Linked DNA regions of Oryzias latipes. The protein of the gene in region 2 interacts with the protein of the main gene of each other region in a pairwise test. Links are inferred from orthologs where the notes say so. Each region holds a gene or a part of one and is shown on either strand. Other genes may lie near its edges.

Evidence for each region.
Region 1: the proteins of l3mbtl3 (region 2) and ngb interact in binary tests that used the Homo sapiens proteins (3 or more experiments, as listed by UniProt). The two-hybrid records come from large-scale screens. The link is inferred for Oryzias latipes from reciprocal best matches to the Homo sapiens genes L3MBTL3 and NGB.
Region 3: the proteins of l3mbtl3 (region 2) and banp interact in binary tests that used the Homo sapiens proteins (3 or more experiments, as listed by UniProt). The two-hybrid records come from large-scale screens. The link is inferred for Oryzias latipes from reciprocal best matches to the Homo sapiens genes L3MBTL3 and BANP.
Region 4: the proteins of l3mbtl3 (region 2) and plekhf2 interact in binary tests that used the Homo sapiens proteins (3 or more experiments, as listed by UniProt). The two-hybrid records come from large-scale screens. The link is inferred for Oryzias latipes from reciprocal best matches to the Homo sapiens genes L3MBTL3 and PLEKHF2.
Region 5: the proteins of l3mbtl3 (region 2) and ttc19 interact in binary tests that used the Homo sapiens proteins (3 or more experiments, as listed by UniProt). The two-hybrid records come from large-scale screens. The link is inferred for Oryzias latipes from reciprocal best matches to the Homo sapiens genes L3MBTL3 and TTC19.

Annotation. Positions count from the first base shown.
Region 1 is NC_019880.2:13,052,714-13,058,663, forward strand, and holds ngb (neuroglobin), read right to left. Parts: upstream 3,978-5,950; 5' UTR 3,659-3,977; intron 3,556-3,658; exon of another isoform or gene 3,453-3,555; 5' UTR 3,417-3,452; coding exon 3,319-3,416; intron 2,972-3,318; coding exon 2,863-2,971; intron 2,785-2,862; coding exon 2,665-2,784; intron 2,565-2,664; coding exon 2,412-2,564; 3' UTR 346-2,411; downstream 1-345. Other genes in the region: protein FAM161B, read right to left, coding at 5,524-5,605, 5,833-5,950. UniProt on the Homo sapiens protein: Monomeric globin with a bis-histidyl six-coordinate heme-iron atom through which it can bind dioxygen, carbon monoxide and nitric oxide.
Region 2 is NC_019874.2:17,835,798-17,841,835, reverse strand, and holds the start of l3mbtl3 (lethal(3)malignant brain tumor-like protein 3), read right to left. Parts: upstream 3,904-6,038; 5' UTR 3,252-3,903; intron 1,848-3,251; 5' UTR 1,824-1,847; coding exon 1,713-1,823; intron 1,512-1,712; coding exon 1,316-1,511; intron 1,163-1,315; coding exon 976-1,162; intron 895-975; coding exon 771-894; intron 643-770; coding exon 591-642; intron 72-590; coding exon 1-71. Other genes in the region: transmembrane protein 244, read left to right, coding at 4,403-4,435, 4,743-4,828. UniProt on the Homo sapiens protein: Is a negative regulator of Notch target genes expression, required for RBPJ-mediated transcriptional repression. It recruits KDM1A to Notch-responsive elements and promotes KDM1A-mediated H3K4me demethylation.
Region 3 is NC_019864.2:22,009,810-22,015,649, reverse strand, and holds the start of banp (protein BANP), read left to right. Parts: upstream 1-2,273; 5' UTR 2,274-2,754; intron 2,755-5,840. UniProt on the Homo sapiens protein: Controls V(D)J recombination during T-cell development by repressing T-cell receptor (TCR) beta enhancer function. Binds to scaffold/matrix attachment region beta (S/MARbeta), an ATC-rich DNA sequence located upstream of the TCR beta enhancer.
Region 4 is NC_019874.2:25,821,220-25,826,468, reverse strand, and holds part of plekhf2 (pleckstrin homology domain-containing family F member 2), read right to left. Parts: intron 1,706-5,249; 5' UTR 1,695-1,705; coding exon 954-1,694; 3' UTR 1-953. UniProt on the Homo sapiens protein: May play a role in early endosome fusion upstream of RAB5, hence regulating receptor trafficking and fluid-phase transport. Enhances cellular sensitivity to TNF-induced apoptosis.
Region 5 is NC_019875.2:10,841,388-10,847,378, forward strand, and holds the start of ttc19 (tetratricopeptide repeat protein 19, mitochondrial), read right to left. Parts: upstream 3,369-5,991; 5' UTR 3,332-3,368; coding exon 3,258-3,331; intron 2,596-3,257; coding exon 2,450-2,595; intron 2,372-2,449; coding exon 2,280-2,371; intron 2,080-2,279; coding exon 1,969-2,079; intron 1,867-1,968; coding exon 1,828-1,866; intron 1,608-1,827; coding exon 1,551-1,607; intron 1,480-1,550; coding exon 1,418-1,479; intron 1,345-1,417; coding exon 1,250-1,344; intron 1-1,249. UniProt on the Homo sapiens protein: Required for the preservation of the structural and functional integrity of mitochondrial respiratory complex III by allowing the physiological turnover of the Rieske protein UQCRFS1.

The DNA.
Region 1 (5,950 bases), on a different chromosome or scaffold from region 2:
CAAAACATGATGAAGACTGTCGGTCTGGAATAGAAACACCAGTGCAGGACATGAGGGGATCAGCATTTAGTTCAGGTCTAAAACTGATCTGTCTACTGTCTAATGTTAGGGTTGACTCTTAGCACACAGGCAAGAATAATGGAAAACGATTTTGTGTGTTTTTGAAGAGAATGCACCCTTTGACTGAAGCAGAAGAAGGATACTGCGCACAGTGCCTGGAGACAGATTAAGGTCAGCTGCCACTTCCGCAGCAGATCAGAACGACAACTCACGGATGTGACTTTTACAGAGATGCAACCAAATTGCTCATGACAGAAACGAATTTGAATTGAGACAAGTCATCACTCCTTCTTTACATCTCTCTTTATTTGCAGGATTTGCAAAATGTAAGACATGTCTGTTAACCACTCATGTTGTGGAAGGGGGAGCCCACCCTGTCAACAGTTTGGTGAAATTCTCCAAATGTTCTTGATGCGACATTGTGCAGCTGCTTGAGTAAGTGGGTGGATATGCCTGAAGCCAGCCTCATTGCAGTGGAGGGCGATCGGCCACTCATTATAAAGATCTTACGTAACGCTGCAAGAGGAGGTGTCAGTTGGAAGAAAATCAAGCATTTGGTGATTGATTTGTTGACATTAGGTGCAGGAGGAAAGCCCACTGACCTCAATTAGCAGTGAAATACCCTTCAGATTACTTTATTTAGTAGCTGCAACACATAACAGTCTTTGAACACAGGGTGGAATTCATGGTTAAGAGCTTGGCTTAGCTTACAGTAATGTCCATTTTTTGGCTGAAGGAGAAATAGGTGACCATATCACTGTTTGATAGCAGCTGATTATGATGAGGTAGACAGTGACACACCCAATATGTACATATCTGGATGCCAAAATAATCCCTTGTCTGTTAGCAGGACTACATAATAAGAGTTTAAAAAAACAGAAAGTAACGGAAACCTGCATAGCTCCAAGGGCTGAGCCTCATAAAAGAATTATTGTAAATACAACATGGAGTAAACAAACATGACACCTGTGGGCTGAACACAAGACAAGTCAGACTTCTGTAAAGTAATTTGATGTACATTCAAAAAAAAGCATTTCTTTTCTATAAGAAATGCACATTTAACTGTAGTATTCTGATCATAAAAAGCATTTTTTGTTTTCTAAGCATCAATTTTTATGAGGATATGACATTTGGGGAAAACAGCAATGCCCTTTACCTACACAAAAAAAATATAATCTAAATAAAAAAAATCAAGCTTTATAAATATAAGCTTAAAAGAAAAAATAACTATTGGCAGCTTGGAATTACAGTTCAACAATGTTATCTAATACTTGGCAAACTGTTGTAAAGTTACTTGGCATTTTCCATTTTTGAATAACAACTGTGGATAAAATCTACAAGGTTATAGTAGCTGTGATAAACACCCAAGGTTCTGTGTTTACCAATCTGATTATGCTAAAACATGTGATTATAACAGCCACAAAAATACAGTTCATAAACATTTTTAAGATAAACAGCCACTGCACAACAAAACCACTTTACACTGACGATTAATGGAAACTGTTGGCAGAGAACAAAGACAGAATCCATCCAATATGCTCTTTCCGGCTAAGGGTCACATAACAGTCTATTCATTAGTGTTTATTTAACAGTCATTAAATGCCTACTGAAACACTAACAACCTTGAGTGAGGAGAGCTTTTAACACCACATGTATGAAGGTGTGTTTGGACACCTTTACAGTTACTGGAGAAAGCTCGAAGAGAGTGTAACAGTTCATGTCAATAGCTATTATATAACACTAAATAAACTTGATTGTAGCAAAAAATTCAGATTATAGTTGAAAAGTAAGGCCAAAAAAATGCAAAGTGAGGCATAAAAAGTAATGCTAACAGTGATTTTCTCCTTCTCGTTGCATTGTCCCCACACAGTTTTTAGTAACATTGTGTTCCAGTTAGATAAAAAGCTGCCTTTGTTGACCACAGTAACAGTCACAGTTAGAGTAGTGTGATGCCTAAACATAATATGTTGTGTGTGACTCCAAGATACATCACAAAGACCACTACAGTCACTGCTATCATGTCAGTATATTGATCTATGCTGTTATTTACAGAGATCTGAGAAAAATTCCTACGGTTTCCTCTCATGTGTTTAGACCTAAAAAGAACCAAACTGGTTTTCAGCTGTACAACAGCGTTCCCAGGTAGCTAAACATCCACAGCAAACAAGCTCTGCTATAGATCCATCTCAGTTAGAAGTGTAGCTACACCACACATTTGCTATGCTATACAACCCCCAGTCACAGAGCAGATGTACAGCAGCCAAGCTGATGCTGCACAGTTACACAACCTCATTCCATGGCAACCATGCTGATCATCTGACAGCAAACTGCTCAGCAGCTCTTGCTGTCTCTCAGTCGGCCTTGTCCTCGCCGTTCTTGGCCCACCCTCGGCTCATTGCAGCCACCACGATGCTGTACATGTTGAGCCAAGCTTGACTCAGCGCTGCGGTGTAGGCCTGACCCAGGCTGCACTGGAGCATGTACAGAAGAGACTCGCCCACCACCTGACGGAGTGAAGACAAGCACAAAATCATTTCCCCCCAAGTTCAGTCACATATGATGGAACTGCTTCAGTAGAGCTGAACTGGGAGAGGTGGGCCCTACAGCAAACGACTGAGTGCTGACTCCCACTGCTTGATGCTTCCTCCCAAGGTTGAGCAGAAAGTCCTCCAAAGAGTGGAGATCATCCAGATGGTTGACAGCCGCATCAATCACAAGCATAACCTGTGATGCCAGATACAAGTTAATAGTGTTAACTAATTCATTCCCTCTATATATGCACTTGTGGGACAGACTTCTCACCTTAGTAACATGATCAAGGAACTCTGGGCTGGAAAGGCAGTCTTGTGTGGAGCCACAGTTTGTGTTATAGTTGAAAAGACTTAGAAGTGCGGGGTCCAGCTCAAACAGTCTAAAACAAACAAAATCCCATTATTCTGCTGGTGCATTCATGAAACCCTCATGCTGGATTAATCATGGATATACATATTTCTCCTGCTGGAGTCTGATTGAGCAGCAGCTGTCACAAAGTAAATTGTAGATTATTGCAGTCTGTCGCCAAGCAACAACTCAAGACTTCAGTCCTTGCATGGTAAAAGTGTGCGGCCAAGAATCTAGCTACATTCTATACACCTGCATATTGCAGACTCTTACCCACAAACGGAAAATTCTGTCAGTTTAAAGGTTAACAAAACATATTCTCGCAGTGCAGAGAAAGGACAGCCTTGAAAACATGCTGAATGTGTAGAGCTGGATCACCTGGAGAACATGATCACCCCGTGAGGAACTTTGTTTTTGCCCAGACTCTCCCAGCTGCCTCGTATCAGCTCCTTGTCTTTCCCTGACAGCTTCTCCATCTTTGCTCGGGGACGCAAGCACAAAAACAAGTTCTTCTGAAAGGAAAGCACACAACTCCTCTACAGGACAACAAGGCTCGGTCTGAGGAAAGCCATAATATTGGGGGTGAATCCACAGATAAAACTTCTCCTAACCCACCTACAAACAAACAAACAAACAAAAAAACTGTGGAGCATCACATCAGACGGAATATGCACAGAAATGGAGATCCATGATTGCAGGATAAATGGTGGTACTGTACCTGCTGGAGGTCAGTCCTCTCCCTCAACTTCCTCTGGTGCAGTGAAGCTTGGGGGTCTGTCTGTTTTGTGTGTGACTGTTTTTATGCTGCTGGCAGCTGCCTGCCACTCTGGTGCACTTGTTCCTTTTCCCTCAGCCCACGGTGCAGGAAGGTACAAGTTCTGCCACGCGCTCAATTGTCACGCTGGCTGCTATCTTTCTCTCTTTTCTCTTCCTGCTTGCCTTCTGATATGCTCTCTCTCTGAAGATATTATTTATGCCACTGAAGGAGAAAAAAGCGGGATCTCTCTCTATATGCCACCAAGGAGATTAAGTGAGCCACAGCTCCTCCTGCAGGTGAATCAAGAACTAAGACTCTACATGCAACTTTTATGTTACAGTCTGCTAAATAACAAACAAAAAAAAGGGCAGCATAATTGCTGCTTTCAGGATAGTGGGATGTAAGCTGAATCCCAAATGCACCATCAGCTGCCTACATTTTTACCCATGATTTTCTAAAACTTCGATGTGTGGGAATTGTAATGGTTAGAAAAAGAAACCTTAACATACCACCTTGGGAAAATTACATTGTTCATCTCGTAAACAGAGCCACTCCTCAAAGAGCCTGATCCTAACATTTAGTGGCAAAGCGTGCAGCCTCTCATTAATCTAAATGAGATGTGGGTTTTTTTCTTTCTCCTGCCTCCACAGGCATTTATGATACAGTTTGTTTAAATAAGATGCATTCCCTCTGGTCTCTCAGGCATTTTGCAAATGCAGATTCCATTTGAGATGAAGCCCAACATGTTTTTCTTACTTATTTATTTTGTATTTTATTCAGCTCTGCATCAGGGAATCAGAGGTGCATCGCTTTCTCCAGAGGGGCTACATGGCAGAATGGGGATGGATGGATGGAGGGTTCCCATGACAACCTCACTGGATTGAGCCCTTGAAGCTATACCATGTGGTATCTTAGGTTTCAAAGGGGTTTCCACGATTACCTGTGATGGAAACCTGTGCAGAAGTTTAAGCATTAAAACATTGTTAAAATATACATCTTTTCATCTAAATAGTCACATTAAAGGGATGTTTGTTTAAGTCTCTGCAAAGATGCAGTCCATCACTCTGTAGCATGTGGATTTAAATATATATCTGACAGCTGCCTTTTTGTAAGCAAAAAAAAGCAGCTGTCAAAGCACAAGAGTACAGCAGAGGCCAGGGTACAGGAGCATTTGATGTGGAGCTGTAGGCTCAGAGGGGACCGCTGAGCGGCCTGAGCAAATGCAGACGCACACAGAGGACTGTTTATTTAGCTGGTGGTGCAGCTCGACAAATAACAGGGAACTTTAACCCAACCATCCAAGAAATGCTTGCTGTTCTTGAGGGACATTTGTAATGAAAGCACATGCAGTGGTACAGTTATATTTTAAAAATTCTAAGCATTTTTGGATGGTTTTTTGAAAATCATTCCCCTTTTTAAATGGCTATTGAATGGTTTTTCAATCAAGCAAAATTAAGCCTCAAAGTTTTGGAGCTTTTATTTTCGTAACCAAGATTTCAATGTCTAAATTACAGCCTGGATTACAGTCATGGATTTCTTGGAAGGAACATCATCATATAATTGAAACAGTACATATGGAATATAGGTCTAGGTTTTGTATTTAGATGCATGGTTATTTATTTTATAAACTGGTTTCTTCTCCCATGATCCCAAAAATATGTGATTCTACAGATCATATGTAATTTCATATTTTAGAAGTGGACTTTTTTTTTTTTTACTATCAAGGCGCCTCTGTAACATGAATTATTTCTGAGGGCAGAGTTGTTTTCTTGTAAAAAAGCCACAAAATAGAAAAAAAATACAGTGTCCCGCTTGGACCTTTGTGATCATGGTGTTTCTTCCCTTTTGGACTTCACGCTCTCCTTCTCCACATCTTCAATTTTCTCCCAGTCATCTGCATTTTCTTCCCTAAATCAGACATGTTGGGTTAGAAATTGGCAACATTGTAATTACGTCAAACTTTTACTTGGCAACAGCACTTATCTTTCCTTTACTAAGGAGTTAAGGTCAAAGAATTATGTAAAGAACAAACCACACAAAGTCCTTGGCTTTCCAGAAGCGCTGCTAAACATAATTTTACTGGACATGGTAGTTTTACACAGTAGAGGAACACGCTTGCAGGAAATATCTCATACCTGATGTGGCTGCTTTCACTTTTAACGCTGTTGATGCTTGTTTTGGTGTCATCATCAGATCTGGAAGTGTCACCTGTTTCATCAACAAATACCTCCGTCAAGCCCACTTTCCTCAATT
Region 2 (6,038 bases):
AGCAGGAGCTCTCTCCTCTTCCAGGTAAGCAGGCCAGCTCCATGCACGCTTCTTATTGGGTGGGGTAGAAACTGGCAATTCAACAAATGTTCATTTAATAAAACTAGGCTTTTATTATCATATTGACCCACCATTTATCATACTTAAATATACATTCGAAAGTTTTTATATTTATGTTATGTCAAAACATACTAAATAGTCATAAAAACCATGGGGGGAAAACTTGCCACGAATAAAATTTCTTCTGTGGTTTATTAAAATTAGCACAGAATCCTAGAAAAAGGATCCCAAAAAGCTCAGCTGTAAAGATAAAGAAGAGAAAGGTTCCTCCAATGACTAAATGATTTCAGATCCATCAATAAACTGTCAAATTTGAAAGAAGTTCTCCCTCTTTCTTTTCCCACAGTCGTTTCAAATTGAATCATAGTCAGAAAAGAGGAAACTACAAAGATGTATGAGGATGCAAAACTCCATTTTAATGATAATTTCAGTTTCTTCTTAATGTCTCTTAAATGAAAGAAAAAAATACAATGACTCAACATTAATTGTGTGTTTTTTTTAATTATATGAATAATAGCAATTTCACATACCGAGCTTTGCAATTTTGGCTCCCCTTCTACTTTTGGTGGTCTTAGCCTTTTCCTGTGAGAAATAAAATATAAAGACTAAACATTTGAACTTAAAGCAAATAAATAGAAATTACAAACTTAAAAATAAAACAGTGAGGTAAGAAGCCATCAAGTTAACACTACTGTGTATTTTTCTCCTACCTCCGGTTCCTCCTGGTTGTCCTCTTCTTCATTCCCAGAATCCATGTAGATTTTCCTCTTTTTGCGCACACGTTTCCCCAGCCCCTCAACTGCAGGGTTCTCCCGTTCCTGGGCAGGAGATGACCTTTAAAAGAAGAAAGTTAGTGTTGCCAAATGACAAACCCGAATAAAAAACTGTTTAAAAGGAGATACATGCGTTTTTTACCTGCCACTGGAAGGCTGGGCACACGCAGAGCTGCAGAATTTGCCCTGAAAGAGGGCAACTCCAGAAACACGACCACCGCAGGCCCTGCACCTCAGCAGCTCTCCTTTAGGCCCTGTTTCTGCATTGGAACCAACGTCTGGACTGGGACCAACCTCCATGTTGGGGGCCTCCGTGCTGCCACCCTCCTCTAAAGACACAAACACATGACTAAACGCTGAAACACTGAGCAAATAAAAGGGGGATGCAGTGTCCAGAAATCACTATAGGGAAAAAAAGTGTATTCTACAAACTGAAAAGTGTAGTTCTTTATAAAAGTAATGTTTGACACAAGCTTTTATACCTCTAGTTTGAGTTGATCCTGTTTTATTCTGATTGGCTGGAGCTGTAGCTGAGCCTGTCTGTGATTGGGCCTCTGGTGGAGGGGTGGGAGTGTGAGATGGCGCAGGGTCCAAGGTCTCACTGTTAGACACGGCCTCCTGCCCTTTGACCTCCAGATCTGTGACAATCTCAAGAGTCCCAAACTCTGTCATGCGGAACTAAAGCACCAAGGGGGGAAAACAGCAACAGAAAAAACAGCTGATTGAATATAATGACCATTTTCTAGATAACATTGTATTTTGATTATTTCAATGGCCAAATTATCAAGATAATTCACTATATAAAACACCATGAGTTAAAATGATGACAATTTTTGTACAAAAAAAAAGACCAGAATGCAGAAAAAACCTGAACTGTACCCTTATGTCGCTGCCTGGCAGAGTGGCTATCCCATCTTTCCAGTCGAGGGCTCCCATCATGTCAAACTCAGCTCCCTGAGAGGCTCCATCACTGGGTGGAGTGTCAGTCATCCCCACTCCACTGATACGACCACCCTGTAACAAGAAACCACTGTGACAAAAGAAAGAAATGTGCAATGGAACCCAAATGCATAGAACCGATCAGCAGGACTAAGATGAAACATTTTATTGTGTTGTTAAAGTTGGACAGGGTTTTTAACACGAGAAAACAGCCGAAATCACCAAAAGCAGCTCCTCTCTGCACTTGTAAACAGCCTTACGCAACATCACCAATAGATGGCGACGGCGAGCCGGCTCGCCGGGTACACCATGCACTTCGATTTCAGACAAAAACAGTCAATAATAATGCAGTTTTACCGGCAAACTAAGGGGCAAATACGCGCACAAACGACCTCGTTGGGGTAAACCGTGACCAAGACCATTGACAAGCCCGGCGAAAAATGTCTCAACTTTAAATTAAACACACAAGTTCATCTTTTCCTTGTTTTAACAGTATCTCTTAAAGATGACTGTTTCCCGGGTGACGAGCAAGTAAGGCGGATATTTAGTCATCCATTTCACAGAGAACATTGTTTTCTGCACTCACTAGCCAAACTTAAAAACGTTTAAAGAAGTCTGTTATTCTGCAAAAACGTTTTAGTCTTGACGCATGTTCAACACCGAATTAAGGTGATATTTTTGGTTTGTGCCGCGGCAATAACCAGTGTTAAAGTGAACAACAATCCTAGCTTATGGATTGTTGGTCAAGTTTGGCTTCAAGCCGGAAACCTCAGTTTTATTCCAGCCATAAATAAAAGTGTCTCTAAGAGCGCCCATGATGATTAGCATTCGTCTTATACAAAATGGCGGAGCATTGGAAGAGGCCACCAACACGTTCAAACTATGTTAATTACTCAAGTTACCGGTTTAAACAAATATCGCAAAGCTGTAGTGCGTCAAATAAATGCAGACGTTTTCCGTGTAATTCCCAAGATGGTGTTTTTATTCACTCTGCTCATTTTTCTTCACTTTCCCCTTGTCACGGAATGTCAACCCAGCTTGCTACAGCAGCTAGTGCTGCAGCTAACAGTTAGCTAGCCCCCTCCTCCCTTCAGATGAACGGGTAACTGCTACACGGCTAGCCCTAGCATTGTGACTGTAAGCAGCCAGCTAAGGACGATCCGTAATAAATAAGTTTCCCACTTAATAACACCGGGAAAACGCCTTTGCGAAACGCAGATCTCAAACAAAATATTAAATGCACTCAAACAATAAGATCGTGCCACTGTTATAAGCTTAAACATTGTTGCTTGATTTATTTCTTCAATAGAAACTTGAAAAAAGAAACGATTTATTCTCGCCGTTTTGAATCAGAGTGGAAATAACGCAAACTAATGTTATTTATCAAACTAAACTCCGTTTTCCCCCTAAATTTAGCCCACGTTCGCGTCAATAAATAATATTTAAGGCCCGCAATGTTTTGAAAATTGTGGAACTCACCTCGTTTCTGTTTTAACTCTTATTTAGAGCTGGATAGACGATGCGCATGCGTGCAAGATGCGCTGCCTGACAACTTTGGGTCTCGGAAAAGTTCAATTTACTTTTAGTGGTCAATAGCAGGCACGCGTGCGCAAAGCACGCGCCCAAACCCCAGTTCGGTACCAGTATAATAATACTCCCAGCAGGATACGGGGGGTTCCTCTTTCCCCTTCCCACCCCGAACACGAACAGTCTATGAAGTCACCAAGAACTAGGAGTATCATAAAGCGCAGGACCGCAGCGCTCCATTAACCGTCGAGAAGCGTCTAGTTCCTCTGTGTTCAAACAGTTTACGTGCCCATTTGAACCACGTTACTCTCTGGCAGTACAGTCCGTGCTAATGCGCTCCGATTAGCCAAGTCTCCGTGTCGTATTCGAGCTAACATGCGCTAATGTGCGCAAAAATAGCGAAAGGACTACTTGAAAAAAGTCAAATGCATCACGGGACGGTGCACCGGTGCTCTTTAGTAACACTGTCGTTTCTGGCCGCAGTCTACGGCTATAAAAACGGACTTAAACATCCCATCCTCCTGTTTGTACAAGTACCGAACCTGACAAAGTAATGCACCAAACTAACCCCGGATATTAACAGAATGTTTGATTTAAAAGCCGCTATCACAACATTTCTATCATTGAATGCAGATTTAGTGATTTTAACTTGAAAAGCTCGATTTGCGCGGTGCGGTTTTGTTTGTATATTTTCAGTTTAAAAGTCCTGGTACTACTAAGACTTATTTATCCCGTGTTAGTACTAAATATTGAGCGGCTAACCCAGATTGTTTTGGCGTTTCTATTACCTTCTTTTTCATTTAGTAGGCAGCATTTTTACCCAAACTAATATTTCACCTACATTTTTGAGACGCCATTATATTAAATGAATATAAATCTGCACACCAAAAATACAGCTCTTGTTTTGTTAACAAAGGTCGCTCTGACACGAAATGAAATGAGTTCAGCTCGACCATAATAGCGGCGTGTAGCGGCGCCGCCTCTTGTCTCCTCTCTGCCGCTAGATGGCGCGCCGAGTCCAGTTTGTGAAGGATTAGCGGCGTCTGCTGCAGTCTGCATTTCTGCAATATTTTTCCAGTATAGCGTCAAGTGCAAATCATGAGATGGCATTCAAAGGCAAAGCGGTCGATTCAAAGGTAAGAGGAGGGCATCGCCGTGCTGTGCTGCGAGGCTGGAACACTTAAAATTATGTTTTTCGATTCTGTCTGTCGAGTGACAATAATGTATGTCAGATACTAACAAATTATATGACACAGTTGTGTTATGTGTTTATTATAACGCCAGGTTTACTTGTGTTATAGGCGCTGTTAGTGAAGCGAAGTCAGTCTGCTTTAACACTATGTTCTCTATTACAAACCGGCAGGTTTCTCACACCCAGGACGTGAAATTACATGCTTGACATCTTAGACTGAATAAATGACCATCTCGTGTGTTGTCTTGCAGACCGTGCTGCTCAATCTCCTGCTCTGCCTGCTGATATTTTATTCTCTTTTCTATATGATCGGGAGCGTGTGCTTCGGCGCGTTCAGGTGAGCACACGCGCATGCGCACTGCTGCTACACAGAGGAGAGCAAGTGAAATTGTGTTTTTTGGTGTTCAAAACTGCATTTCTGGGTATTTCTTTGTTCAAATCATTGTAAGCAGGAGCAGATGAAAAAATGCAGTTTTAAAAAACACGTAGCAGTGAAGTAGGTGCTTAAGTCGGGGGGCACAAATTCCATGCTCTGTTCCGTTCTGATGCATCCAATTGCAGACAAATAGATCACATTTTTTTGTTGCACTGCCAATGTTAAGTTGGGGTTGTGAGGGGCTGTAAGCTAGCAGGACAGAGTGTAAACAAATGGATGTTGGGAAACGAGGACAGGCTTTCTCAGCACCAACAGTCCTGCCTAGAACTCAGCGGTGAATGCTGCTCTGCAGAAACTATGTCCTAGAAAGCAACACACTTTTTTGTTGTTGCTAAAAACGGCATAATCATAATTGAAAGACCATTGGAATTTTTTTTACAATAGATCAAAATATGATAGGAGAGGGACTTTAATGGATTATAGAAGGATATTGATATACTGTAGAACAGGGGTCGGGAACCTTTTTGGGCAAGAGAGCCATAAACGCCACATATTTTTAAATGTAATTTCGAAAGAGCCATACAATAATGTAGAGTTTCCCACACTGAGGCACGGAGACTTAACCTCTTTTAAGGTTCTTTATTCTGGTGACTGCAGACCACAACAAACGCCGTAAAATTAATTCAGCAACTCCTTAATCTCTCCTGTCGACACGAGACGAGAGAGAGCGCTTCTACCAACTTTATATTCACCTGCTCCCGCTCCAGCCCTCCCATTTCCCTTATTCGGCCCATAGCTGAACCCCATTGGTCCAAACTACCTAACAACAGGCTGAGCGACAGAACTGAGAGCCAATCAGATCTCTGCTTGATGCGGTCAATGAACTCCAGAACTTATAACGCGGCCCAACAGCCATCCAACTCAGTCCGCGACAATATGTTTAAAACTAAATATACAAATGAATGTGTGCATTTGATGTAATTTCAACATTTTTAAAGTACAATAAGTCTGTGGATTCTTTTTAATAACATGGTTATGCTGTTGCTGATAAATGATGAGTATTTCTCGTGGTAGTTTTGCTGATGGTCTAGTCTGGTTGATACGTGGTGAGTTTCTGCTTCACGCAGGCGTTGAGACTTTAAACGTGATCTTAGGTCTGAATGTTCTGTAG
Region 3 (5,840 bases), on a different chromosome or scaffold from region 2:
TTTGAAGTTCTTTGAATTTCATTTTGAAATTATCCCCAAAAAGCACATGCAAAATTCAGAACTACCAATGTTTCCCATGCTGTACCAGATGTTGGGAGTTTACATTGCAAAAATAGAAGTTGTTCCAATGCGTCAATATAAAAAAATAGCAATGGACAAATACATAAATACCTGGGTACTGAAAAGTGCAAGCGACGTTTTACAGATTCCTTTTATTTTTTGCACAATAATCAAATGTAAATTAAATATGTTTACAAACAAACAGGAATTGATAGGAAATCCATTCACATTTTAATTTCCTAAAGTTTTTCACATACAAATAACACAAACATAACATTATTAGACAGAGAAGTTTAAGGTGGAGATCACATCACGGCTCAGCACTCAGCCCCTTCATGTTTGCAATGGTGATGGACAGGCTGACAGATGATGTTAGACAGGAATCACCATGGACAGTGGTGTTTGCAGACGATATTGTGATTTTTAGCGAGAGCAGCAAAGAGGCGGAGGAGAAGCTAGATAGATGGAGGTTTGCCCTGGAAAGGAGAGGATGGAAGGTTAGCCACAGAAAGACGGAGTACCTGTGCATAAATGAGAGGGACCCAAGAGAAAGAGTGAGGTTATAGGAAGAAGAGATAAAGAAGGAGATGGAGCATTTTAAGCATCCAGAGTCAACAGTACAGAGTAATGGACAGTGTGGAAAAGAAGTGAAGAAGCGAGTGCAGCCAGGTTGGAATGGGTGGGAAAAAGTACCAGGTGTAATGTGTGATAGTATGAGGTTCAATTGGACCAAAGACATAGACAGTGGGCACAAAAACATGTTTTTGGCACAAATGGAACCTCATATTTTTCTGGCAACGTGCGTTTGCAGGAATATCAATAAAATGTATTTAAAGAAAACGTGTTTGTCATGGTTAACGCTAGCGCCGGCTTTAATAAACCTTTTTTTTGTTTCGTTCCGTGGTAGTACAGGAAACAATTAACCGACCGTACAAAGGACTTTTCTGACGACGAAAGACAAATGCAAAGTTTTAAACATAACGCATGAACCAAAGGTCAATGAACTCGTTCAGTAGACATAGACAAGGGACCAAAGACATAGACAGTGGACACAAAAACATATTTTTGGCACAAATGGAACCTCATATGATAGAAGAGTTTCAGCTCAAATCAAAGGAAAGTGGCACTGAGGAAAAGACAGGAAAAGGGCTGGAGGTTGCAGAAATGAAGATGCTGAGGTTTTTCTTGGGAGTGAACAGGATGGATTAGATAAGGAATGAGTACATCTGAGGGACAGCACATGTTAAAGGTTTTAGAGATCAAGTCGAGAGACCTAACTGAGATGGTTTGGACCATAGTGTCCAGAAGAGAGGCAGTGAGTAAGTATATTGATGGAAGGATGATGAGTCTAGAGCTGCCAGGCAAGAGGTGGATGCAGTGAACGAAAACGTGACAGTTTTTGGTGTTAGAGTAGAGGATGCAGAAGACAGGGTTAGAGGGAGGAAGGTGATTTGCTGTGGCGACCCCTGAAGGGAAAAGTCCAAAAGGAAAGAAAATGATTAGAACATTATGCCATATGATCACGTGTCTTTGCAAAATTCAAAGGGGGGTTTCAATACATTGAAGTGAAGAAGCAATAGCTTGATGTCTTGATCCTGTTTTGGTGCCTTCCCGTGTGTTGCCTGCTGTGATGGCATTTGGTCGTTTTTATGTTATAGTAAAATAAACCTTCTGTGCCTCAATCCAAATGGTATTTCCCAATATCAATATAATCAATTTATTTCATTTTGAAAAAAGTTTATGATGGTATATTGATTCAGTTACCAAATTGCCTCAGACAGATTGATCTGGTTGGATTGTAGAAAAATAAATGGATTCATCAATTCAACTATTTACAAATACGGCCTCCTTCACTTGATTACAATTTGGCTAATGCAGGACTGAAGGGCTTCATACAACACCTAAATAAATTAATAAATAAAATACATAAACAAAACATGGATAAAGAACAAACGTGTATTAACACACGTTGAATCACAAACATGGCAACAAGAGTGTCTCTCTAACAATTAAATTAAAAAAATGTTTTTAAATGACTGGTTTTGCAGATCTTTAATATATAAAGATCTGCATATATATATATATAATATTTGTATAATTTCTTTTTAAATAATTTGTGTGTTGTCTTAAATGTTGATGGTGTGTCATTTTCTCTATTTTCCCTCACTGTTCAAATCAGAACACAGAGTATCTGAAACTATCTCGAAATTGTTCAGCTGATAACAGTTTTATACTTTGTTCTTTAAATAGTTTCCCCCTGCAGTTGTTACACGAGATATTGCTGGTAGCGTTGATTTTTCTGCTCAAATCGTTGGCTTAAAAAATAACGAAAGACATCCATGTGCAGGATCCTTTGTTTATTTTTTAGTTTGTGAGGAAGTAATCCTAAAAACAAACTTAAATTTGATAGTTCAGTAAACATCCGCTCATATAAAGGAGCATTTCTTTAATCATAAGATTTTAAGGCGGTCGGTAGTTTTGAGCAAAGTGTCAAAGTGTTTTTCTAAAAGAAAACTTTACACCCTGACGCTGATCTCATATCTAATGAAGAGTCGGCACGTTCCCCCTACAGGCTGTCTCGGCGGTCGCAGCCAGTCGGCGGAGGAGCACAGGAAGGCACGAGCTCATCTCTCGCGAGGAACGACGCCGTTATCGGAATCTCTAGAAACAACACGAGAATTCGTCATTCACACGGTAATATAAGCCCACTCTTACACCGTGCAATTGACGTGTGTGAGCAATGGTCTACGAATCCAAGTCAAAATCATCTTTCATTTTATTTTAATTTTTTACGTTTTAGCAAATACTTCGTTGCGTTTCAGCGGCCTGTAGGCCTAACTAGCATGCTAACGACTAAGCTAGCTGAAATAGCGCTCTGTTTGCGTTGCTTAGCTCTCAAATCGGATTGTGCTAACTTTAGCCATTGCCAGTACATCACTGCTCTGTGCTAATCGAAACTTGTTATAATGCACAGCTGTGATCTCATGCAGTTGTAATAAACTGTACTTTTCCTGAAAAACAATAATCAACATCTATCAGGACCTATGTTCCTTCAATTGTTTAGTTCATTAATTTAAATCTCCTCCCATTTACTGATACTGATAGCATACAGTTAAATAACTGCATCGTTACTAGCAAGGCAAAGATGAAATATATTTAGTGGAATGAAAGGTAGAAGGCTTGAACAAAGTCTGGCTTTATCATTATTAAGATAAACCACCAGTTTACAAATAGTAAGGCATTTCTGGTCGTTTTTTTTAAACTATCACATCTTAATTGCTTTGAAACAAATTCATACATTGACATGTGTATGAATGTGAAAGTATTTCTCAAAGTGCATCAACTAATGTCATAAAATTGCCAGTCTGATCTACTTTTGCCCCAATCCATATACAAAAAAAGTACATTTGATTAAATTATACATCCAAATTAGTATTTGCTAAAAGTGACGTAAACAAATCTATTTGTATTTTGATTTAATTAAAAAATTAAATGGGGAGACTTGAGTTTAACTGTTATGCCATTTAGCCACAGCTTGTAAAGAAAAATACAGCAATGCCAAGCACACATGCTTTGTTTAGAAGGTGGTCATTAGCCTTAGTGATAATTGTTTTACATAAACATAAAATTGTGTTTTAATTAAATTTTTACTTTAAAATAACCATTTATTGGAAAAACAAACAATCTTCCAATACTGTCATTTACATTGGACTTTAATTCATATACACTGTTTTAAAATTAGTTGAATCAGGAAAATAAAATACTTTTAACTACTCTCGCCTTTGCAGGCTTTTAATTATGACACAGATTTATGGTATTGGGGAAACATTTTAGATATAAAGGACTTGGGAAAACAAAACAAAACAAGAATTATAAGTATTTTGACCATAAATAATGCGTAAATAGGTTAAAAGAAACGAGTACCACAATAAAAATGTTCCTAAACGTGAAAACACTTCAGCAAATATTAACTATTGTATTTATTTATGAAATTTGGGGAAGTTTAAATGTCCACTCATTTTTTGGACTTATCATTTAAAAACAGTAATTTTTATCAAGAACCGTTTCCAAAACTATGTTTCATGACTATATGACACATGAAAAGCAGATTTTGAATTTTAGCTGCAGTTTAGTCACATGAAGCAGAAAGTGTGCCATTCTATGTTTAACTTGCTAGTGATGAACATGTAATAAATCCTCAAACTTAAATGCTTTAAAAATGTCATAGAACTCATTATAATTGCATACTCAACACATGCATTGACTTCAAAGCATTTATGTACAACTGTTGTCAAACACAATTTCATAACTGGTATTAAGCTAATAGGATTTGCTTGAAAACCAGTTAAATTTGATTTGTTTCCTCAATTATGGAGTTTGCAATATGTGTGGAAAAAGGCCCAATATTAAATGCATTGGCAATAATCTCTGCAAGTATTTGATTTGGCCCAATAAGGTAATCAAGCTTTTTTCAGGCTGTGTAGTTATTAGTCAAAAGCGCTAAGGCTCAAAATCATACAATAAAGACCTTGTCCAGTTTGGTGTGGATGCACAAAGCCACTCTTGATGCTCTGGAATGTACAGGTTTCAATCGGTGATACTTTTTCTTAAAGTTCAGTCCTACAGGAAACAAAAACAGTGGCTTACAAGGGTCGCTTCCTGTTATCCTTTCCAACAAGCCTGTTTGAAATGGTATGGTTGCCAGGAGCACACATTCCCTCTATGAAAGGAATTTTTGCAAGTTACAATTGTGGAAAGCTCTGAAGATTTCTTTAACAAAAGACAAATAATGCCCCACTTTTTGAAAAATTAAACACAAGAATTTATCGTTGTGTAAATGAGACCAGAGTCCACTTCAATGAATGTAGTCTTAAAGTTCTGTTTATTTTTTAAAGTCAAATGCAAAGATCTGTTTGTTAACTGCATTTTGTTTTAAACAGCAAAAACGGAGTCTTAAGGAAGTGAAAAAGACCCTTCTTTCCTGAAAAATGTGTCTTATTTTCTGTCTTTCCATCCATTTTCTTAACCTACTCTATCTTTTTTGGGGTCTCGGGGCTCCCGGAGCCTAAACTGGGTCATTTTGGGCAAGGGTAGGGTACACCCTGCAGGGCCACACAATTACACACACACCGAGTCGCACCTTGGGATGTGACCGATGAAGCGCGTCTATGGATGAAGGTCGATTGCCTGGAGAAAATCCACACATGCACAGGGAAAACATGCAAACTCTTCACAGAAAGGACCCAGTTTGGATTTGAACCAGAGCCTTCTCATTGAGAGGTGAAGGCAGCAACCTATTCTTTCTTGTCTTGCAAGAAAAAGTTTTTCTAGTAGCAAATGAAACTTTGTTTAAGAAAGCATGCCCAAGTGACATCTAAAGAACATTTTTGAAATTTTAAGTAGTTTTGATGAACTTTATAGTGGACTGTGGTCTGAGGCACAGCAGCGCATTTAGAATAGATTAAAGAAAAAAAGAAGTTGTTCAAGTCAGTCAATGAACGGCAGTCAATGAACTGCAGTTAAATTGCCAAACCCCGCCCCCTAATAAAAAGCAAAACTAAAAAACAAGTGGAAGTTTCTCTAAAATGACAGGGGAGGTAATGTTCATGCACACAAGTCATAAAAACATTTTCTTCTGAATGTACATTTATAACTTCTTAATAATCATTTTGGTTTTTATAAAAAAATTACCATTTTCTTCTTCATGTGTTTCTTGGTTTTAACATATATAAACATCTTGAGGTAAAAGATGACTGTTATTTTATGTCGCGTAAAGGCGC
Region 4 (5,249 bases), about 8.0 Mb from region 2:
GAAAAAATTAGCAGCTAAATCTACCCTTTTAAAGACGAAGAGCTGGTTAAAGTGTTTTAAAAGTGTTTCCGCAAACAAACTTAACTTTCCCTTTGTGGCCTCAGCGGGGGGTCAGTCACACTCCCCGCTCCTCTATTTCCTGCTGACGCACACACCGAACAGCAGCCCCATCCAGGGTAATAAGTTTCAGAGTGGACCTATCATGAAGTCCCTGTTTTTTTGACGCCTGCTTTCATTTACCTTTCATTACCTTTTCCCGCCTGAGGAGTGCAGTTTTCTACAAGGCCATGCGTGACAGTAAAGGCCACGGCTCCAGTTAGGGCTTTGGGTCGGCTGCTGAGAACAAACGTCGAGCACCGAGCTTTAGCTGTCAGGAGCAACTACGCCAACTAAAATATTGCTGCATTTAGTGTAATAAAGGGATTTCTTTTGTCATTTTACAGAAAATAGATGTACAAAAATAGAGCAAAAACGCATGAATCTGTTACAGTAAAGCCCTGGCTGGTTTGTGAAGGACAACAAAAGGGAAGAGCTCAAACATTTTCTTTTCCCTGCAGACAGATTTCTGTCAGTCGATGGACAGAAAACATTGAGAAGCATAAAAAAATGCATTCGTACGGAGGACTGCGCAGAGGGAGGTCTCACCAACACCTCTGGTTTCTGTAGTGCCTAAATGCAAAGCCATTAGAAGAGCAAAAAGAATTAGAGGAGATGACCATTTTTGGTGGTTATCCAGTTAATTCCACTTTTTGCTGGTTTGTAGGAAACTTTCAATCCAGCTGGATTGAAGGAAAAATAATACTTCAAAGGGAAACGAATGAATCATTCTGCTGTGGTTAAGTCTTTACATGATGATCATGACTCCATTAGGGAGGGAAGTGAAGAAGGAGAATGTCAAGAGTCTTTTTGCATAAAGCTGAAAAAGCAGAGGAAGCAGCAGAATCGGGCATTTCTCAGTCACTGCTGTCGTCTTCGTCCTCATCATCCGACAAGTGGTTGTTGTTGTACCTCGACTCCGACCAGCTGTTGGAGTCTGAGCACGGCGCCAGGCTTCCCGACGTCAGCTGGGCGTAGCAGAATTCACAGACGCGGACGGGTTTGGACGACTGGCTGGGAAGGAGGTACTTCTTCTCCGAGCAGGGGTTGCACACCACGTAGCCGCATTTCCTGCAGTGGTGGCGGCGGTTGACGGCCGTGAACTTCACTTTCAGGCAGCGCATGCACACGGACGCCTCCGAGTCGGGCACCCACACGGCGGCGTGCTCGCCCGTCGGGGATTTGCCGCTCTTCTGCAGCAGGTCCTTCACACACTTCCCGATGTGGTTCATCCACTCGCACTTCTCTGTGGCGGTGGCGGCATAGACGGCAAACGACTTGGTAGGCGTCTTGATGAGCCAGCCGTTGCGCAGGTCGCCCTCATCCGGCACCGTGTCGATGGTGACGCTCTCCAGAGGGATGATGTGCTGCTTGTTGTACTTCTTCTTCTGGATGACAATGTTGCCGTAGACCAGGATGTCGTTGAAGAGGAAAAACTGACGCGCCTTTGGCTTCTTGCGGCAGAGTTTGGTGAGGACGCCCTCTCCGATCAGGACGCGGCCCGGAATGGCGAGAGGCTGGCCTGCAGCTCCAAAGCAGCTCTCCACCATTCCTATCCGCTTGGAGTTGGCCTCGCTGTTAGCAAGCCGGTCCACCATCTTCACCTCTCCTGCAAGAAAACAACGATAAAAACAAATTAACGTCCAAAGCAACAGCTCAGTGAATAGAGACGTTTTTTAATGTTCATGTTCAAGAGCAAAACAGCACAAGAGCTTCAGCTTTTGACTTGTTCTTTTTGCTTCTTCTTACAAACCCTCCTTGTCATTTTTCAGTTCTTGTTTTTTAAAGCACAGATTTGGAATGCTGCCCTCTGTGACTAACCAGATCAGACAGCAGAATCTGCTGAACGCAGCTCACCTGATAACTAATTAACAAGACTATTTTTTGGGATAAAATCAAAATTATTTTAGATTAATTATTTATAAGAAATAAACTCTCAGCAACATCAACAATTCTGAACTCGCATAAAGACAAACTTTTGCAGAATTTATTAAAGCTAAAAACCATTTGAGTAAAAACATGAAACAAACATGAATTAGACAGCCTAAAGTCTAACACTTTTCAGGAATATAGTCTAATGACTCAAAAATAGGAGATTTTGGTGTTTAACAAATTCAAAAAAAAAAAGTCTAAATACCAGACATGGATTTTCAGAATTTAAAAACCCATCCATCCATTTTTAGAACCTGCTGAATTGTTTTCGGGTCACACGATAACTGGGGCCAACCCAGCTCCTGTTAAGCCGAGGAGGAATGCATCATGAACAGGTCACCAGTTTGTTGCAGGGCAGACACACTCTCACAGATGCGCACACACACATGCACAATGAATCTCTGAAGCATGTTTTTGGACAGTGGGAGGAAGTTCGGAGCGCCCGGAGAAAATCCACACATGCATGACGAGAACTGCAAACTCCACGCAGAAAGGTTTTAGCCGGGATTCGAACCGGGACTCCTCTCTGTGAGGTGAGAGCGCTAACTGCTACCGTGAAACCCCATTGGAAAACCCCAGTAGAAGGGAAAATTTCAAAACCTCTCATTTCAAAATGAGTTCAGTCACCAATGTTCACTTAAAGACAGAGAAGGCCGTGCTCTTGATGCTCGAGTAGTCTTGACTTTACAGAAGCATTTTCAAAAAAAAGTTTTTGTTTTTATGAGCATCATCTCTACAGTAAGACATGTAGACATATTTCTATGAGCTCCATTCATCACATTAGGATGAAGAGTCTTTTTGCTCATCCTTAAATCTTTTTTTAAGCTTTCACAACAGTTTCAAAAGACTACAGAGACGAAAGCCTCAACACACATTTTCTTTGCCGCTGAGACCCAGATGCCAGCGCAGTTGGGCTCTTGGCGTCTTTCTCTGCCTTTCATAAAGTACAACAGGCGAGGTCAAAGGTTATTGATGATAAAGATGAAAGGGGAACTATTCTTTCTGGCAAGTGCAGAGCAGATACAGCGAACGCTATGTCTGAGTATTGAAGCAACATCAAACCAAAGTGCACATATGCATTACAAAGCCACACTTTACTTCCACCCTTCTTATTCCTATACTTTATCTCTTACACACAACCCCAAATGACAGCTCCAACCAAAGCCTCTTCCTTTGAAGTGTTCAGATAAACTGCAGGTCAGCAATCAGATTTAGTATTGTAAAACTGTTCAACTGGATCCAAAGGAATCCTAAAAGTGCAGCTTTCATTCAACACTGACTCAGTTCAAGTGCAGCTGGTGAGCTCAGAAGTGCTTTAGCACTAACAGACGTTTAGATTTCACCCTAAAATACACAAATGAATAAGAGTTCATTTTTGATAGATTGAAAAGATCTGTTTATGGTCCAACTTATATCACATTATTCAAAATAGTTTAGATTTTTTACAAACATTTTTGTATTCGCCTCAATAAACAAGATAATAAATAAAAAGAATGAAGCAGTCATAAAGAGATTTCATATTTTGCTTTAGGCAAAAATGCTCATCCTTTTGTTTGACAGCAGATAAACAAAAACAAGAGCTTGTGGATACCAACAACCAGACAACAACACTGTCATCGTGTCGTTCTAAGGTCAGAGATTGCTCTGACTTTCTCTGAGCCGTCACAGGAGAGCCACAGGATCCTTTTGGAAGTGAAGATGGGGAACAGAACTGTTCTGTGTTTGCTTTTAAATAGGTTTCCTTTTCAGGTTAGATTCTCATGGGTTTACAATGACAGCCTCACTCATTAAGTTTACATTGTCAACATAATCGCTGACAAACGCTATTATTATTATTTTTTCATGCACTGCTCAGGGGACATTCAAGCTCTCGTGTTCTATTTCTGTGACGGGTTTGACCAGCAGCATTGGGCAGCTCTGAGCTTAGGCGCCTCTGGAGCAAATGGAGTTTGGCTGGGGTGGGGGGTGTTCTCTCCCAACACTGTGCCAGTTCAATCAAACCAGCAACCCTCAAGCCACAAGCTGCATTCTCAACCTAACTCTAGGCTATCGCTGCCCCCGTTTGTTGCAGCTCCACATCTCATCAGAAGATCTGAATTTACTGAATGCAAGTTTGGAAATGACCCGACTTTTACTGGTTAAGTTAAAAGCAGATAAGAAAAAAAAAATCCCAACAGACCAGGATTCGACTAGTTAAGTTCAAAACCTAGAGTTAGTTGCATTGACTTTATATGAGAACTGGACTGAGTGACCTCTCCCCCCACATGTTCCAAACAGGAGGTACCTTATGGCTCCAAGAAGCCAAAATCCCACGGAGTTCTATAGAGAAATAAACTTCTATTACTCACATATTGTATTTGTCAGGAAAACTATTGTTGCTTTACAACTTATTTTTAACATATTCTTGCTAATTCTGATATTTTTGTCATGATATTTTTCTTTATTCCAAGTTATCCAAAGTTATAAACTGACCAAGCAGATGCCTCAATAAAACTAGGACGTCCAACGTTTGAAAAATTTGATTGACAGATTCTCCCCAGCTCACTTTCAAGTGGTAGGGGCGTGGACATCCAACAAGCACAGCCCTGATTGGTGAGAGTGGTTGCCATGGAAACGATGATTCAGACCGATTTGGACCAATGACTACTCATGATGGCTCCAACACAGCATAGTCATTTTCTGTGGGTGTTGTCACACTCGGTCTTAATGTCACACTTAGTTGACATTAGGACTTTTAGAATACGTAATTCAACAGTAGCTATAAACTATACTACTTTAAAACTGAAGAGTAGTTTGTTGGACAGTGAAAAATCAAAAATATAACTGGTAGTTTTAGAAAAAACATCTTTTAACATAAATTTTTTTATTGGCTACAAAAACAAGATTCAATTATTTTAAAAACTGGTCCATGACAGTGAAGCAAAGCAACACAAACTAAATATATTTCCTTTTTGAGTTGTTGGTCAAAAAGAGTTAGTAGTAGTTTCTATGAGAAGATAGTTAATAAAGCATATGAAGCAGTTTACAGATGTAAATATATTCCTGTCTTCCAAACTTTAAAAAAATAAATGCAGATTTAAGAGCCGCGGTAATTAACTAGAAAAGCCAGAAAAAGCAGGGTGGGCTCTACAGTGATGTGAAGACTAAGAACTCGGAGAGAGGCTGTAAGCTGCCTGACAGATAAGTGTGGCTGCTGACATATCAACCCTAACAGTGAGGGC
Region 5 (5,991 bases), on a different chromosome or scaffold from region 2:
GGGCATCTAGCATAGAAGTCGTCCATCCAATTAGTCAAAAGGATTTTTTTTATACGTTAAATACTTCAAGTTTCCATATGATTGTTTTAGCACATTAAAGGTAACCATTTATTGCAATTTTCCCCGTCTTTTCTGATGTGCGTATTGCACAGCTTGATATCGTGATAACAATACATTTGCGATTTGTTGTGCAGACCTAGGAGGGGGCTTAAGGCTGCAGGAGCCCATTGAGATAACGAGGCGGCAAACCATGAAAGGATTTTAAAACAAATAAAAGAATCTTAAAATGAATTCTAATATGAATAGGAAGCCAGTGTAGTGAGGCTAAAAAAGGGGAGATGTGATCATATGTGATGCCCCAAAACAGACTAAGAGGCAAAAAAAAGACCTCACAGCTTCACCTGAATAAAAACTGGAGACAAAGTTGTCTTTTGAGTAAAATTGCAGTCATTGTTTTTAGGTAGTGGGTTATTGCTAAAATAAACAGACCTCATGATAATGAAGGGGGATCTAGTTTAGTTTAGTCTGAATTGAATTGAATAACGATATTGTTCTTCCTTTGAAAAGGCTTGGGTCAGAACTTGCTAAAAAACAATCTGGCTTACCAGAACTTTCCTGACCTAATTTCAGCGTTTGACATAAGCGGTTATCCGGTTGTCCGAGACAACCAGATTTCACGGAGGACAACCAAATGAACCTGATGGTTGTCCATGTGACAACCTGATCTTTTGTTCAACATTTTGGTATTTTTCGACTATTTTTCAAGTTTCAATGGTTATTATTTGGCAAACTCTGAATTGAGACCTATGCAGCAAATTCTTTCCACTGACAAACGAAGTGCATGCATGCAAGCGAATCCTTTGTTTCTACATCTGTACTTTTCAATAAAGATTACCGGTTTTCAAATACGTGTTGAACAATACCTGGTGCGACCGCTAGAGGTCTCCAAAAACACACAAAAGGATTTTGTTTTCAATTTTTTGGCAATACTTTGTGTAACCAGATGCTTCAATATTTAGTCAAATGTTTGTTTTTAATATTTAAAGAGTTTTTTAAATGTCCATCATAAGAGGCAGTTGATATTAGATGTATAGAAGAAATAAAGATGTAAGTACTGACATCTGAGTAGGTTTCGTTGCTGTTGAATATTGGTATCGAAGGACAACCAAAAATTGGGGAGGACAACCAAGTTTACTTGCCAGGTTGTCCCTTATTTCTAACACTGAATTGTCACCTGTCAGTATCTCACCTGTCTGCTTTTCTGCTGGAAGCTCTTTGTGTTTCTCCAGTTTAGCCTCCAGAGATTCTGTGCAGAACTTGAAACCATGTTCAGCAAGCTCAGCCCTCAAAAAACGACAAACTCAGGTCAGAAAACTCTGAACTTCCACCCAGATAAATCAGTTGGCCCGCCTCTCACTTGTTCCTCTCAGCATAGATGGTGGCCAGTTTCAGAGACATCTCGATGACGGCGTTGTCGTCCTGGAGGCAGAGTCAGCTGTGAGACTGCAGCTGTTCCGTTCAAATACAAATGAGGCGCCGGCACGACTCACCTCTGGAGTTCCTCCTGACAGCATGAAGCTCATGGCGGCTTTGAAGAGTTTCTCTGCCTGAGAGGAAGAGGAGCACAGATGAAGATGTCAGCTGACAGCTGAGAGCTGCAGGATATCTAAAAAGAGATAATGATGTGCAGGAATAAGAGTTACTCCTAAAAGACAAACCCAGCTTCACATAAAGTGAAGGAATGTATCTGATAAAAATGACAAACATGTTACAGTTTAACCACTTCCACAAACGGTTGTGACTATGCTGCAATGAGCCAATACTCACATTCTCCAGCTGACCCTGAACGTAGGCAAGATTGGCCATCTGAAAAGCAAAACAAATCTGAGTCACGTAAACCAATAATGTGGTGGTAGACTGCATTGTTAAGCTGCATGACAGCTCCTGCCTGGACAGGTGAGAGCTCACCTGGCTATAGGTGTAGATGATGGCCTGTGTGTTGTGGGTCTGATGAGCCAGAGCGACAGCCTGGTGCAGAAAGGAGGAGGCGGCCTGCATCTGACCACGGTGGATGCTGAGCTGTGTACGAGTACAAACAGTAAAAATATCTTTACTTCGCTGCAACAAAACACTACAACATTACTGTAACAATGCCACAGCCGCTCCATCGTAAACCTGTTCCTCTACAGGTGACTCTCCGTCTCTGCACCGTGCACTGTGCACTGTGCACGTGCAACATGCAGGAGTTCCTGCTTCTGTTTCAGCCCGGCTTATGGTACCTTTGCTTTCTTCAACAACAAGATCATCTCATCCTCCTTCTTCTGAGCTTCATCCCGTTTGTTTTCCTCAGAGCTGCTGAACAGGGAGAAGGCTGTGCGTGTGCACACACAGTCAGCACAAAGAAGAAATACACGTGCAGTTTTTGAGACTTTAGTCTGACCGAACTCACCGACTGCTGCCCACAGAACTCCTGCTCCTGTCTGGACGTTTCTCCTGAAGTGTCCATGTCTGCTCTGCGCTATCAAGCATCTGGAGCTGGCTCCTGCCTCAGGTTGTGATGTCACAGAGAAGCTCTGAACAGCAATGGAGCGCCGCCTGGAGAAGAGAAAAATATCTATGCATGACAAAAGCAGGCAGAGCTGTCCTGATTGTCTGATTAACAGTAGATGACAGAATTAAAGATCTGTCTCATAAGCCTAATTTTAGAATGATTATGGTCATCAACATCTGACATCAGATATTCATGCACCCATATTTAGCTTTGAAACATGCCTGATCTGTTGTAATATCTGTAGTAATCTGTATGTATTGTGTCTGTACAAACTGATCTGAGGTAATAATACGTTTATTTATCTACATTTTAATACAGATTTTTTTCCCATTTCAGATTTTATGTTTTGCTTTGGTCACATGACAGTCTTCAGGGATCTGGTTATCATTATCATCAGCTGGTTTATGCACCTCTTCTCACTCTTAATCCAGTGTAATACAGCAACAATATGTATTCTTATTAATTTGTCCCCTGATCTAATTTAAACTGGGAGTGTTTTTAATGATATAATAGTGAAAGAAATGCCGGTAAAACCTGTTTGAGCTGACGCTGTCAAATCAGAGGACACCTGAACGCACCACGTCCTCAAGTTTAAGGCGCGCGGCAGAGAAAGCCGCAGCTATCGAGCAGACTCTGAGAGCGGCTGACGGCTCCCACTGACGGAATTCTCCACTCAGTTAGGGTGGGTTAAAGGACACGAACTCACCTGAGTCCCGCCGAACCAAAAATCCCACTCTGAGTCCGGCGGAGGACGGCCAGGACCGCACGGTATGCTGCCATCTTGCCTGTTTACACAAGACCGGAAGTGACGCTTCAGGATGCACTTCTTCATAATAAAAGACGTACTGAAAATTATTTTATTTTGAAGCAATACAACTGAACGTTTGGCGAATGAGACACGACCCGTATTTACAGTGAATTCGCTTGTGGGTCCTTTCTGGCTATAAATTATAATTTTGCACATTTTCAGCTATCTCTATTTTAGTTTCAAAACCATTAGGATTTCTATATGTTGTTTGCTTTTCTTTCCTTTTCTTTTTTTTTTTTAAATATTTTGGAGAAAAAACTGATGCTCCTTAGAAACAAATAAAAACTTCAGGAAAGTTTTAGCTATGCATATTATAAACTATTAATTGTTCATTAAATAAGAGGCCCTTTCCCTGTTTTTATTTTTTGTATGGTACTTGTCTTGAGTAAGTGATAAAATAATTGGTACCAGGAACTTTTTAGTTTGTTGTCATTATTTAACCCTTTTAAGACAATTTTCTTGTTTTTTTTAACCTTGTATAGGTTAAAAAATACGAAAATAGGAATAACACTATAGTGTATTTAGTCGAATTTAGAGAATTTTACCTTTTTTTCAGGTATTTTGTCCATTTTTGCAGTCAATATTTAATAATTTACTACAGTTTTCTTCCACTTTTTTTGTGTTCTATGTCATTTCAAAGTTATTTTTAAAAATGTATTATATAAAGTATTTTAGTCTTTTCATTTCCTTTAGTGTTTCAGCATACTTCAACTTTTAGTACTCACTCAAGAATTTCTTTTATATATTTGATAATGATGTTGTAACATGACATATAAAACAAAATAATGACAGCAAATCAAGACAGTTCTTTGTTTTGGTTTTATTGTAAGTTTCATTTTTACTTTTCTTCAAGATGCATATTTACAATATTGACAATTGTTTTCCTTGTTTAACTAGACAGACACATCCATCAGAGAGCAGGTAGAGCCAAACATCAGACCTCGGACATCAGCTTTGACTAACGTTCAACCCTTCAAGAACAGGTCCAGACTTTATGTTTCAGATGAACTAAGACCAGGTTTCAACCCAGTGAAGCACAGATGGAACAATAACAAGCTTTCTTTTTAAGCTTTGTTTGTTTCTTCTCCATTTATGTGGTCTCTCATAACCGCAGAGGCTGACGAAAATATTTTATTAGAAGAAACCAATTGTTTAACTGTTGGGTCTCACTTCCTATTACTGTCACTACCCCTAATGTCCTGCTGGTTTTAAACATAGAGGTTCACCAAGATTTTCTTCCAGAAAGCAAAAATTCTTAGGTTTTACTGGTAGGTTTGAAGATCAAGCTATTTTGTGTCACCCACATTGACTGTATGAAAACTGGACTGAGTGACGAATGTCGCATTCAAACAGGAAGTATCCGTCACTTCCAAGACGCTAAAATCCCATCGACTTTTATAGAGAAATAGACAACTATTCTTCAGTCATCATACTTGAAGAATAACCATTCTTGCTCTGATTCCTTTATTAACATCTTCTTTCTTCTTTCTAATCCTATTTTCATTATATTTTTCTGTAGAAAAGGTTATTCAATTTATAAACTTACCAATCAGATGCTTCAATAAAAGTATGTCGTCACACGTTTAATGTTTGAAGCGTTTGACAGATTCTCCTGAGTCTGCTTTCAAGTGGCAGGGGTGTAGTCTTCTAACAAGCTCACTTCTGATTGGTAAGCGTGGTTCAGTAGATAAAATGACTCACTGCATACTGATGTCTGGCTCCAACATGGCAGCGTGTATATGGTAAAAATAAAAATAAGCGACTGAATTGACTTCATTTGGTTTGAGCTAGAAGTAAGCCATTTTCTATGGGTGACGTCACACTCTGTCCAGTTCTCTTATACAGTCAGTGGTCACCCACTGTCAAACCATCACACAATCAGCTTACTGTATAGATATTCTCATTTATCGAGTTAAATTCCACCAAGTAGTAGGTTAAAAAAAAGGTGGGAACTCATGAACCAGCTGATAAACCTGTTTCAGTTCACTGTTTTCTTTTATCTACTACTTACTCTATAGTGAAGCTTCAAACGACCAAAACACAAGCTGCACATTGTCATACAAACTTGCAGCACCCCCACCAGTCTGTGACCATTACTACAATATCTTGAGTCATGAGACAGCTCATTATGGGATTCTTTTAATACAAAAATGAGACCAGGATATGACACAAAACAGTTTGATATAACAGCTGCACATTCTGACTTAGTAAAGCTGGATTAAAAAGAAAATCAGTTTTTTTCTAACTCAATTTGGTCTTTTCTTAGAAAACGTCATATTGTATCCACGAGGAGGTCCAAGTCAGGGTCTCATTGTTCCGGTCCCAAGCCCGGATAAATACAAAGAGTTTTGTCAGGTAGGGAATCCGACGTAAAAAATCTTTACCAAACCAAATATGCAAATCAGATCTACAATATCCATACCAGATCGGTTGAGGCCCGGATTAACAACGTCCGCTATTGGTGCTGTTCACCGACAGGGGCCGGTGAATACAGGGTTGTGTTGGAAGGGCATCCAGCCCTGCCCAAACCACCTGATTTGTTGTGATGACCCCTTAAGGGATATAGTGAAAGGCAAACAAAAACAACATTGGTCGAACAGGACAGGAGAAAGACACATTCGTAGGAAGAGAA